Caenorhabditis elegans: one gene and its partner. The protein of the gene in region 1 interacts with the protein of each later gene in a pairwise test. Each region holds a gene or a part of one and is shown on either strand. Other genes may lie near its edges.

Region 1 (5,020 bases):
TTTTAAGTACAAGGATTTTTAGAAATTTTTCTAGAAATTTCAGGGATTCAAAATTGTTTTATCAATGAGAATTGAGATATAGAATTTTAGTCGAACATTATTTTTTTTGTTCTTTCTGGAAAGAAAAATGCAACATTATTTCTCTTTGAAACCATTTTGATATTTTTTCAGCTGAATCCTCCCTCATATCGTTTCCTATGTGAAATTATGCTTATTTTTTGCTTGTAATTTATTCGATCGATTTTTAATGTAATAAATTCAACAAATTTGTATTTAGAAAATGGCCGCCCGAAACGCAGGAACCGCCCGGCCTGGAGGTCCAAACAGAACGTGCCAGTTCAAACTCGTTCTTCTCGGAGAAAGTGCTGTAGGTGAGTTGATACTGAAAATGGAAAAAACCGCTAAAGGTTGGAGTAGAAAATAAAAGCAAACAAGAACAGTTTTCCAAAAAATAAAGATTTTTTTATTCTACTCCGTTCTGTCTGTAGCATATTTCGCAGTTGCTGAAAACCGTCACAAAATTTCGAAATTGCGTTGATTTCGAAGTTTAATTCTTCGTCTTTTGATTGTTTATATGTTTAGAATTATGGGTCATCTGATAGTTGCTAGCATATGACGTATATGCTCTCTTATTTCACCTAAACATCACAGAAAACTATCATTTCAGGCAAATCATCTCTCGTATTGCGATTCGTCAAGGGACAATTTCACGAGTATCAGGAGTCGACTATAGGTGCTGCGTTCCTCACTCAAACTGTGAGTTTTTGAATTTTTTGTGAAAATATAACAATTTTCCCTAATTTGAACAAAAATTTTGACTAAAATGAAAAATCTCGAATTTTAATAATATATTGTTTTTTAATAATATAATTGCGGAGATTTTTGCTCGAAAAACACGGATTTTATATTGAAAGACGTAAAAACGTTAATAATTAAGAATTGAATTTTCGAAATTTCAGGTGTGCCTTGACGATGCAACAATTAAATTCGAAATCTGGGATACTGCAGGACAAGAAAGATATCATTCATTGGCACCAATGTACTATCGAGGAGCTCAAGCGGCTATTGTTGTCTACGATATTACCAATCAAGAATCTTTCCAAAAAGCGAAAAATTGGGTAAAAGAACTGCAGCGACAGGCATCTCCAAATATTGTGATGGCATTGGCTGGAAACAAGGCTGATGTTGCCAATAAGCGAACTGTTGAGTATGAAGAAGCTAATGCTTATGCTGAGGACAATGCTCTCTTGTTCATGGAGACATCTGCGAAGGTACATTAGAAAATTTGGATTTTGACAATAAAAACATGTTAACAGAGTACTGAAATAGATCAAAAACTAAAATTGTTATTAAAAATAACAATAAACTTTGTTTTCTGCGAAGATAGTTTTTGAACTAATCTCCATTAAAAAATGAATGAGAAATTTAAGATTTCCAATTTAAAATCAATTCTCTATTTATTTAATTACAGACCTCAATGAACGTGAACGATATTTTCATGGCAATAGCTAAAAAGTTGCCAATCGGACCAGCACAGGGTGAACCAACGGGAACTGTCGATATGAACCAACCACAACAGCAACAAAAGGGTTCATGCTGTAAATAAATTGACGACTTTTTCATGTACCATCAACCCTTCTAGCTCCGCTCCTCTTTTGTTCTATATATCTTTTGAATCCAACGCCTGTGATCGTCGTCATTGTTTTCCCCTCGAAAAAAAAACACTTTTGAACAAGTTTTTTGTGCTCGCTTTCTTTATTTATTTTCACTCTTTTAACCCATATTTTCTCATTTTTTGTATATTTCTGACTAATGTTCAGCCAGTGAATGAGCTTGCACAATTGGCTCTGCCCATTTGCTTTTTATATGCGAAAACTCCCATTTTTTCATTCAAATGTTCCAATTATTTATTGCTTCTCACCATCAACATCCAAGTCCCGAACCCCACCATCCCACTGTTAGTACTTTTCTCGTCAAAGTTTCACCACCTTTTTGTCAATTTTTTTTCAAAATTTTATAGCATCCTTTCAGAATCTATCCGAATAAATTGAAGTTCGAAAATGTATATACTTGGTAACACAAAACCCTTCGTATACGATCGATATTAGATATTGAATTCAATTTTCTGAAAAACAACAAGGTGAGAATTATTTGAAGAATACAAATGTCCGATCAACCTGGAACAAGTAGACCGCCTCTTCGAGCAGAACCAACGCCCACAAAAAGTAAATGCTTTTCAAATCAATTGAATTCAAAAGAAAGTTAAATTTAAAAATTAAATAAATTTACTTTAAAATATACAAAATCATCTGAGATTTTTTAATTTTTTTAAATTTTTACATTCATTTTTTAAATATGTATCTGATTTTTTTTTCGAAAAGCAATGAAAAAGTATGGAAAATTATTTGAAACTACAGTACTCTTTAAAGGCGCGCACCTTTTTATATTTAACAATAATTTGTCGTGTCGAGACCGGGTACCGTGCCTGTAGTGAAAAAACACAAAGAAAATAGTTCTGTAATTTTTGTCATCAATTTTAGCTTTTTAAATCAAACTTTCTAGTAGGAACTTTGAATTTTTAATTTTCAGCTGCAACACGTCGACGTGCCCGTCCAATTGCAATACCATCAGATGAAACTCCACGGAATGAGGTTACATTCCTAAGACCATCAGAAGTTCCACAAAGAAAACCACTTCCAGAATATCGAGAACCACAACCACGAAAAACGTAGTCACATTTAAAAAAATCATTCTTAATTTTTAAAACATTTTCAGAGTTCCAAAGAATGTTCCACTTGAAGATCTTCATAATTATCATCGGGAGGAGTGTCTAAACGTTAGCATTCCACATTTTATAAATACAGAAGATCTTATCAAAGAATCTCAACGTGTCAATGGTCTCATTTCATTTCGAAGCACAAATTTTGTGGATCCTTCTGTTATTTTGAAGGTTTTTATTTAAATTATTATTTATTTATTTGTTTTAGATTTTAACGAGAAAAAATCAGCCAAAAACGCATCTGGATATTTTTTTCAAAAATTATTTTAATGAGAAAAATATGAAACAAATATTTTTTAAAAGAGTATTGAGAAATGACCTAACATTTTTTTGCAAAAAAAATCAAACTGAAAATTGTTGCTCTCCAAAAATCAGAACCCACTTGAAGTCAGAAATATAAATATTTCTCCTAATTAAAATTATTTTTACAGGAAATAAAGAAAAAAGAAGAGGAAACTGTAACATTAATGGACAACGACAAAAATTCTATAATAGACATAGTTGGAGATGGAATAAACTACGAAAAATTGAAGAAAGTCGAGAAATCCCTCTGCCAGATTGATATTATCACCGAATTTATGAATAGAAGTCGACATTTACAAGGAAAAAAAGTCAACGGATGCATAATGAGAATCGACGTACGGTTTATGGTTTTTGGAAAATTTCAAAAAAAAAAATTCAAAATGGATTGACATTGCCTGACTTTTCCACCACAAGAAAATGTCAAATTTAAAATTATTTTTTCGGATTTTTTTGTAGAATAATAATAATAATTTTAAGTGATAAAATTACTAAATATCATAGTTTAAAGTTTCAAAAAAATTTTAATGCGATTTCTATTTTTTTTTTAATTTTTAAGAGTTCGGCTATGATATTTAATTTTTTTAGAATATTTTGAGAGTACTTATAAATTTATGCAAAATACCTCTAAAAATAACAAGAAACAGTAAACATTATATTTTTCGCAATAAACAGTTTTTTAGCCAAATCTGAGTCGACTTTCTGTTTTTAAAAAATTTGAGTAACTTTTCAGGAAACGAAACAATTATTATTTCATGTAATAATTGATGGACCTGTTGGAAGTATCTATGAAGGTGGAACATTTTTTGCCGATATTAACATCCAACCATATCAAAATCATTCATTGATTCCAAGAGTTTGTTTTCACACATTTATATTTCATCCGAATCTTGGGAAATATGGAAACGTAAGTTTAAAAACCTAATTTTGAAAACATTTAAATTTTTTGCAATTATTCAGTGGGACATGCGTGGAATTCAATGGGAACGACGATCCAATTTGGAAGTTTTATATAATTTTATTGTGGAAGGAATGCGAAATGTGAAATATGATATTGGTAAATTCTTTCTACATTTATAAGACATTTTAAACTACTTGGCTATCTAAATATCAACTAAAAAATTAAATTATGAACTCTTCCAGAACGTAGAAATCTTGCTCAATTGGAAGATATGTCACAACCGAATATCTCGCGGCTTGCTAAAGAGGATTGGCCGAAATTCGAGCGTACAGCCCGGGAATTTGTAATGAAAATGGCCGGAGGAACTATAAACGGACGCAAGACAATTTTTGCTGAAACAAAAAAAAGGAGAAGACAAGATTTTCTTGATGAAGACATTGATGTCATTGGAATTTCATAGTTTTCTGTTTTTTTTAAATAAACAAAAAATGTTAACCATTATTTATTGGTTCTTAAAATCACTTTAAAAATTCAAATACAAACAATCAAAAAGGCACATGAAGGTTTTTAAAAATCACAGACAAATTCAGAATAAGAATACAAGAAAAATATAGTGTCTCCCGACTAGTTAGTATTATGGAGTTTCTGGAACTCATTCATCCACGTGGCAAGTACTTGTGTCTCCTCGACTGAGATGGCATTATAGAGCGATGCACGGATTCCACCAACTGATCTATGTCCCTTTAAACTAATCATATTTCGTTCAATAGATCCTTTCAAGAACTTCTCCTCAAGTTCATCGTTTCCAGATGGACCGCCAATTCGGAAGCAAACATTCATAATACTACGGTAGCGTTTGTCAACGGCGCAGTGATAAAAACCATTTGAATTATCAATTATATCATAAATCATTCCAGATTTTTGAAGGTTTAGCTCATAGATTGCTTGAAGTCCACCTTTTGATTTTATCCATTTGAGAACGAGATTTGTTGTGTAGATACCTCCAGTTGGTGGTGTATTATACAAACTATTATTTGCAA
Region 2 (6,513 bases), on another chromosome or scaffold:
TCATGTCAATTTGATTCTAAAAACTCATAAATATTTTCGAAATATTAAAGACAAGCTTCACGTAACTGCAAAGGATAAGAAAGACGAAATGGTTCAAGCTGGTGCAAGTGAGATTGATCCTCAACAATGGACTGGAAATCAAAGAGTTCTTCATTTTGGACCAATGGCTCAACGTGATCCATATTTCTATTATTATCCAAAAGGATGGGATATATTGTATCCAGCAACATTTGGATTTTTTCCATATAGAACATCGTTAGTTTTTTGATAATTGAAACTGTAAGCTGGAAATATGAGGGTTGAATAGCTCAACTAAATAACTCGTAGATTATAATTTAATGGAGTATGTCCTAATACATCATATTCAACGCGAAAATTCAACAGAGACGCAGAAAATATACATCAAGTTACTTTATCAAAAATTTAAAAAAAAACCCTGAAAAAAGCATTATTTTTTAAAGAAAATTTCGTGGCTCGTCATCATTGATTTGTTGTACAGCATTCGGCGTTTTTCTCCTAATTGGAGGACTACTAATGTCACTTCTTGGATATAAATACCTTTATACTTCACCATTCTGGACTTGGCCATACGAACAAAGAATACGACCACCACCAATTCAAATTGCGGGTCCTATTTTATTTGGACTCGGATGTTCGTTTTTGATAATTTCATTAATCTACTTTTTATGCACAACAAAGCTCTGTGATCTCTCGTTACACCACACAAAGAAGCACAATGATCCTGCTAGGCTTACGACTATTACAACACATTATGTGGTAAGTCTTTTTGATTAATTGAAAATTCAAATTCAATTAGAAACCCACATGTCCTTGTAAAAGTTGCGACTACACCTTTGAAAATTTCATGAAAGTAATATAAACAATTAAAGCTAACAAATTAACGTCTAAACAAACTCAAAATGATCGTACCATAATTTAAAAAAAACTATTAAAACATTTTAGATTTCTGAAAATGGCATAGTTTTGGTAAATTGCCAAATTAACCGAAACAGCAATGTGTTTGAAACCTTACAAGGCTTAGATACAGTTCACTAGAACGAAGAATGTAGGTAATAATGCGTATCAATTCAAAATCAAAATGTACCCATTTTAGTTGTTACACGTTTACAGCCGCTACCTCCGATCTTTGAGAAAGATCCATATCAACCTCTACCTCCACCTGCGTACCCAGTTCTTGAGAATCGACACGCAATGTCTAATGTAGTTAAGCCACACGATGAAAAGAAACTGTATCCACCAGTGTAAGAACTTCATTCAAACCGGAACAAGATTCTGTAAATCTATAATTTCAGAATTCCTGGATGTTCCACACTTTCCCTTCATAGACGATCTCCGAATAACATTTTTGTAGCAAGTCCATATAATACCCTAAGAGCTACAAGCGTTGGAAGATATCAATCTGGATTCCTTGACACGAATTCAATAATGGAAAATCGGTTAGGATCAAGGCAGCCGTCAGTTGCAAGTAGAAGACAATCAAGTGAAGCTTCAAGTCAAAAAAGATCCAAATCAATGGGACCTTTACATCGAACTAACTCCAATCGAAGCAAAGGATCAGGAAGATCAAGAAGGAGAGAAAATAGTCAAATATAGACATTGTTTTATGATGTTAACCAGATTTATATTGTTTTTTTTTAATTTCAAAATTCTGTATCCACAAAGATCAACCGAAAAGGAGATGAATAATTTGTAGATATTTTAAAATATTTATCTACAATAATATTTTCCATCAACCAAATAAAAAATTCGACCTTCGCCCTTTGTATGTCTTCCTCTCGTTTCCCATTTTTCACTGCGTCTCAATCGCTGCTGACTCATATCTGATTGACCTCACTGTTTCTTCCAATTTCCTTGGTCACTGATAATTATACTTCCGTCTTTTTTCAGTTTTCTCCAGTATTTTTATCATAACATATACTCAAAATCAATCAATACAGGAACGTCTAGTCTACAACTTTATTATAATAACAGGTGAGATATTTTGTTTTTGGTAAACTTCATAATAGTGGAGCGCTGAACAAAAGACGAATTTTCTGATAATTTAAAATTGAAATGAAATATATTATTTACCCTTTATAATTAACTTTGTTTGAACCTAAATATTGCTCATATTCGAACAAACACTGTACACTTTTTTACGAAATTCAAAGAGACGCTACTCAGTAAATAAACAAGAAAATATAAAACAAACTGTAGTGCTCATCTCAATTTAACTGAGCTCACAAGTATTTCACCGATTTTATTAATTACAATTGATTGAGCACCCGAATCTTTTACATAATTTCATGGTAGTTTTGCACCTTTTTTGCATAATTCCTCTTATGGGTCTCGCCATCAGAAAAAGTTCTGAGAATTTTTTATGATCCCTCCATTCCACAATTAATGAAAAAATATTTTGAAAATTTCACAAAAATAGACAAAAACGAATAACATTTAAATCTGACTCTTTGAGACCCAATTCAAAAATATCCATGTGTCTTTAAGTACGCGTTACAAAAATTGCGAGAGAACAATTACTAACAGTTCAAATGTAAATAGATATTGTTAGTAATTGCCAAAACTATGGGAAATTCTTCTATTTAATCTTCATTGATTGAGTTGATTTTTTTGTTGATAAATTCAAAATTCCTAATATTTTCTAAAATATCGAATTTCCTAAAGTTATAGTGAATCCGAAAACCTCCAAAAGAAAACAAAGTAGTGACCATAAACAATAAAAAAATCATTGTTTCACAATTTTTACACTTCACTCCGCAAAAATATAGGTCGCTTGAGTGTTCGAGTTTACATGGCGTGTTTCGCAATAAAACTTTCATTTTGAAATCCCCGACACTCCTCTAATTTCCCCCGACAACGCTTTTCGTTATTGATTTTTTCACTTCAAGCCCTAACTTGAACCCATTTAAATTTACAGATGGCGTCAGTCCCATCGTCATCTAGTCTCCCAGTGTCGCATGTCCGTCGTCATGAAGACGTGTCAACACCAAGTGCACCACCAACCAAACGAAGTAATAATCAATCTCAACCTCCAGAAAGCTACGAACCCAACACCTGGTTGCAACAACAACGAGAGCAGGAACAACAGAAAAAGTTAGCTGCAGAGAATATTAAGAAGCAGAGTATCGAAGCAACGGGAAACAACGAGATGGTTGGGGAGGAGGAAGAGGTGAGGGAGAAAGATTTTAGATTTCGTAAGTTGACGAAAGTCAATCCGCGCGTTTTGTTGATATGCGGAGAATCATAAAAATGATAAAGGTAAAGCTTCAGTATGACTTTAATCTAAGAAATCGACCTTAATACTCTAAAAAGGATGGAAATAAAACATTCCATAATTAATTTTTTTATAATTGTCAAAGTTTCAAAACTAGCTTAATATTTGTAGAATTGACTAGAATTGACATTTTCAGAAGAATCTAACCCCGCGCACGCATAGCTCATTTTTTGAGAAGTTTTTTCTACAAAAATTGCAACACAAAATTATTGCGCCGTCTTATTTCCAAATGATAAAATTGGCACGTGTACTAGAGACCAAACCAAATAGGAAACTGGCTATGTAATGCCTCAGAAATTTAGCTTTACAGAAATAAACATTGTTGACAATATTGCAACCATAGGTATTCCAAAATCTTAATCATCATTATATTTTCAGGATATTCTCTCAAAACCATGTGGTCCACACAAACGACGATTCCAATTTGTGATGATCCGTAACATTACATTTGCAATTCCGGAAGGCTATGACGTCGAGCCAAACAGCATTGAGTATTTGGGTGGAGGCTCGTTTGGAAATGTTATGTATGTTTTTCAGTATTTGTGTGCTTTATTTGAATGATTATATTTTCCAGAAAAACAAGTGCAGTGTGCCGTGACGGGCTTCGTCGTTATGTTGCAATAAAGAAGATGCGAGAACCGTTCTTTGATCCACATCATGTAAGACAAAGATACATTTTTATTGAAGCTAGAGCATATTTTTTACAATTCAAATGAACTAATATCGTATTAAAAATTTTCGAACTTTTTCTATGTACAGTCAAGAAGTGGTGATTCAAAATTTTGGGGCAAAACCAGAATTTTAAAACTAATCTTGTTTTCTGTTTTCGTCTTTTTTTTTGTTGGAAAATTGCCAAAACTTTAGAAGAACATTTCAAAAAGCTGATATTTGGTTTTTATACCCATTTTTGAGAATATATTTGGTCGATCACATCCTTTGAACACCTTAAACTTCCAGGCTCGTCGCATCTTCCGTGAAACAAAACTTCTTCAATTAATGAGACATGACAATATCATCTGTGCTCTTGACATCTACACACCTGACGAGGAAAACGATTTTCGAGATGTGTAAGTAATTACAAAAAAGTTTTACAAACAATCTATAATTTTCAGATACGTTGTCACTGAATTTGCGGGTCGTAGTCTTTATCAGATCTTGAAGCAACAAAGAGATTATGGACGGCGCGTGCTGACCGACGAGCATATCAAATTCATCATTTATCAAATCATACGTGCACTTAAGTACATTCATTCTGCTAATGTAAGTCAATGGAGTTAGTGAACAGAACATTGCTCATTCTTTTTTTTTTAATAGAAATATCAGCATTTTAGATTAAATAAAATTTCATATAGGAGGATTAGGCACGATTAGGCCATAATTAGTCAAAAAGAACATGACTAAAACACGAAAATATATTTATTAAAATTTTTTAGATTATACATCGTGACTTGAAACCAGGAAATCTCGCGTTGACCGATGATTCTGACCTCATGATTCTCGATTTTGGACTTGCAAGATCCTTGGAAAAGAAAGATACTTCTCTAACACAATATGTACAAACAAGATGGTACCGTAGTCCAGAAGTCATTTATTGGAAGATTGATAGTTACACAAATCTGGCAGATATGTGGTCACTTGGATGTATTGCTGCAGAACTTTTAACTGGAGAACCACTGTTTCCGGGTGATGAGCCCAATGCTCAATATCAACGTATTACTCAATTATGTGGAAGTCCTGATGAAGAACTTTTGACAAAGATTGAAAATGATAACTCGTCTGCAATTAAAGCCGTAATTCAATCCTACACAACTCACAAACGTCGAAATTTCCGTGATGTATTTTCTGCTCATAATCCATCAGAAGACTTTATTGATCTACTTGAGAAGCTTTTAGTTTTGGATCCAGAGAAGAGGATTACGGTGGAAGAAGCTATTCAACATCCATATTTGGCAGAGTTTTCACTTCCAGAAGATGAACCAAGAGCTGATCATATATTTGACTTGGATGACTCTCAAGCTAGAACAAGATTCGAGTGGAGAGGTAAGGCTCAAAGATCACGTAATAGAATTCTGCACACCTGCAAATTTGAAAAACAACAAATGCAAAAATATTTTATTACAGATGCCGTCTGGAAGGAAATAATGAACTACAAAAGACTCAGCTCATCACCGTTAATCCCTGGAGAAGCAGATCGCTGATTTCATTCAATTATATTAATTGTATATAATTCCGGAAATGTATTACTTCTTTTCCCTCTCTCTTTCTCGTCTCTTTGTCGTTCAGTGATAGCAACACTTTACAGGTGATAATGATGTTTTCCATCTTCTCTTTCAAATTCTTTCAGAGTATTTATTTTCTTGCATTCTATAGCTTCTTCCTTTTATGTCTCTGTCTCCTTCTCTCTTTCTCTTTACTTCTCCATTTCTCTGAATCTCTTTGTCTCGTTTTTCTCTCATGCTTTTATCCCATCATATTTTTTTATATTCGTCATTCTTGTCATTGCACCCTTACACATACTAATTAGTTCAATAAACTTATTTTCTTTTGACAATTCGTTTTAAAAGCTTGAAGTGTTTTATAAAAAAGAGATTGGTTCTAATCCGTGTCACTCATATTTTACACGAGCTTATATGTTTAAAGTGAGATTATCTGAAAATTTCTGGAATTTTTTTAATATAAAAAGCATAGTTTGACTTGACAAAGTTAATCCTGAACTTCAGCTTAAAACGTTTATTCAATTAGCAGAAAAATTCAAACATTTAAAAAATGTGAAATAAGATTGAATTATTATTTTGGAATACCTATGTAGGCAATTGTCTGCCCTTTTTCGAAATATTAAAACTTTCGTGCAAAAATGTAAAAATTATATTTACAAATTCAATTCAAACTTTTTCTAGATGTCTTGTTGATGGGGATGTCGGCGACCATGGGCGATTCAGCCAGCATTCCCGGTGTCTTTTTTGCCGATTTTGGTCCTGCCCCGCCTGAGATTACTCCAGAAGGATATCATGAGGTATAGTTACAGAAGAAGATTTTTTATAGTGTAGTGAATATTGTCTAAATATACTAGAATGAGCTAAAAGAAATTTTGCAAATTACAAAAACCCAATGAGTTAATTTTAGATTATTCATCATTTTTAGTCAAAGTTTTGGAAAATTTCCAAATTTGCGGACTATTTGAAAAAAAAATTAAGATTTTTTTAATCACTTGAACAAAAATG

What was found.
Region 2: the proteins of uev-3 (region 1) and pmk-3 interact in a two-hybrid assay, tested with the Caenorhabditis elegans proteins (one study listed by BioGRID).

What each region holds. Positions count from the first base shown.
Region 1 is NC_003279.8:9,308,165-9,313,184, forward strand, and holds uev-3 (Ubiquitin-conjugating enzyme E2 variant 3), read left to right. Parts: upstream 1-2,154; 5' UTR 2,155-2,164; coding exon 2,165-2,225; intron 2,226-2,589; coding exon 2,590-2,728; intron 2,729-2,775; coding exon 2,776-2,950; intron 2,951-3,210; coding exon 3,211-3,417; intron 3,418-3,812; coding exon 3,813-3,986; intron 3,987-4,039; coding exon 4,040-4,136; intron 4,137-4,222; coding exon 4,223-4,440; 3' UTR 4,441-4,473; downstream 4,474-5,020. Other genes in the region: rab-5 (small monomeric GTPase), read left to right, coding at 281-371, 668-756, 960-1,271, 1,472-1,606; F26H9.5 (putative phosphoserine aminotransferase), read right to left, coding at 4,605-5,020.
Region 2 is NC_003282.8:8,137,311-8,143,823, forward strand, and holds pmk-3 (Mitogen-activated protein kinase pmk-3), read left to right. Parts: upstream 1-1,908; 5' UTR 1,909-1,992; intron 1,993-2,935; coding exon 2,936-3,187; intron 3,188-3,670; coding exon 3,671-3,816; intron 3,817-3,866; coding exon 3,867-3,951; intron 3,952-4,249; coding exon 4,250-4,359; intron 4,360-4,404; coding exon 4,405-4,552; intron 4,553-4,725; coding exon 4,726-5,332; intron 5,333-5,413; coding exon 5,414-5,490; 3' UTR 5,491-5,841; downstream 5,842-6,513. Other genes in the region: islo-1 (Interactor with SLO-1), read left to right, coding at 51-255, 462-777, 1,132-1,262, 1,314-1,614; Mitogen-activated protein kinase pmk-2, read left to right, coding at 6,201-6,305. UniProt on the Caenorhabditis elegans protein: Responds to activation by environmental stress and pro-inflammatory cytokines by phosphorylating downstream targets. Involved in axon regeneration after injury, probably downstream of dlk-1 and mkk-4 and upstream of mak-2. May phosphorylate mak-2.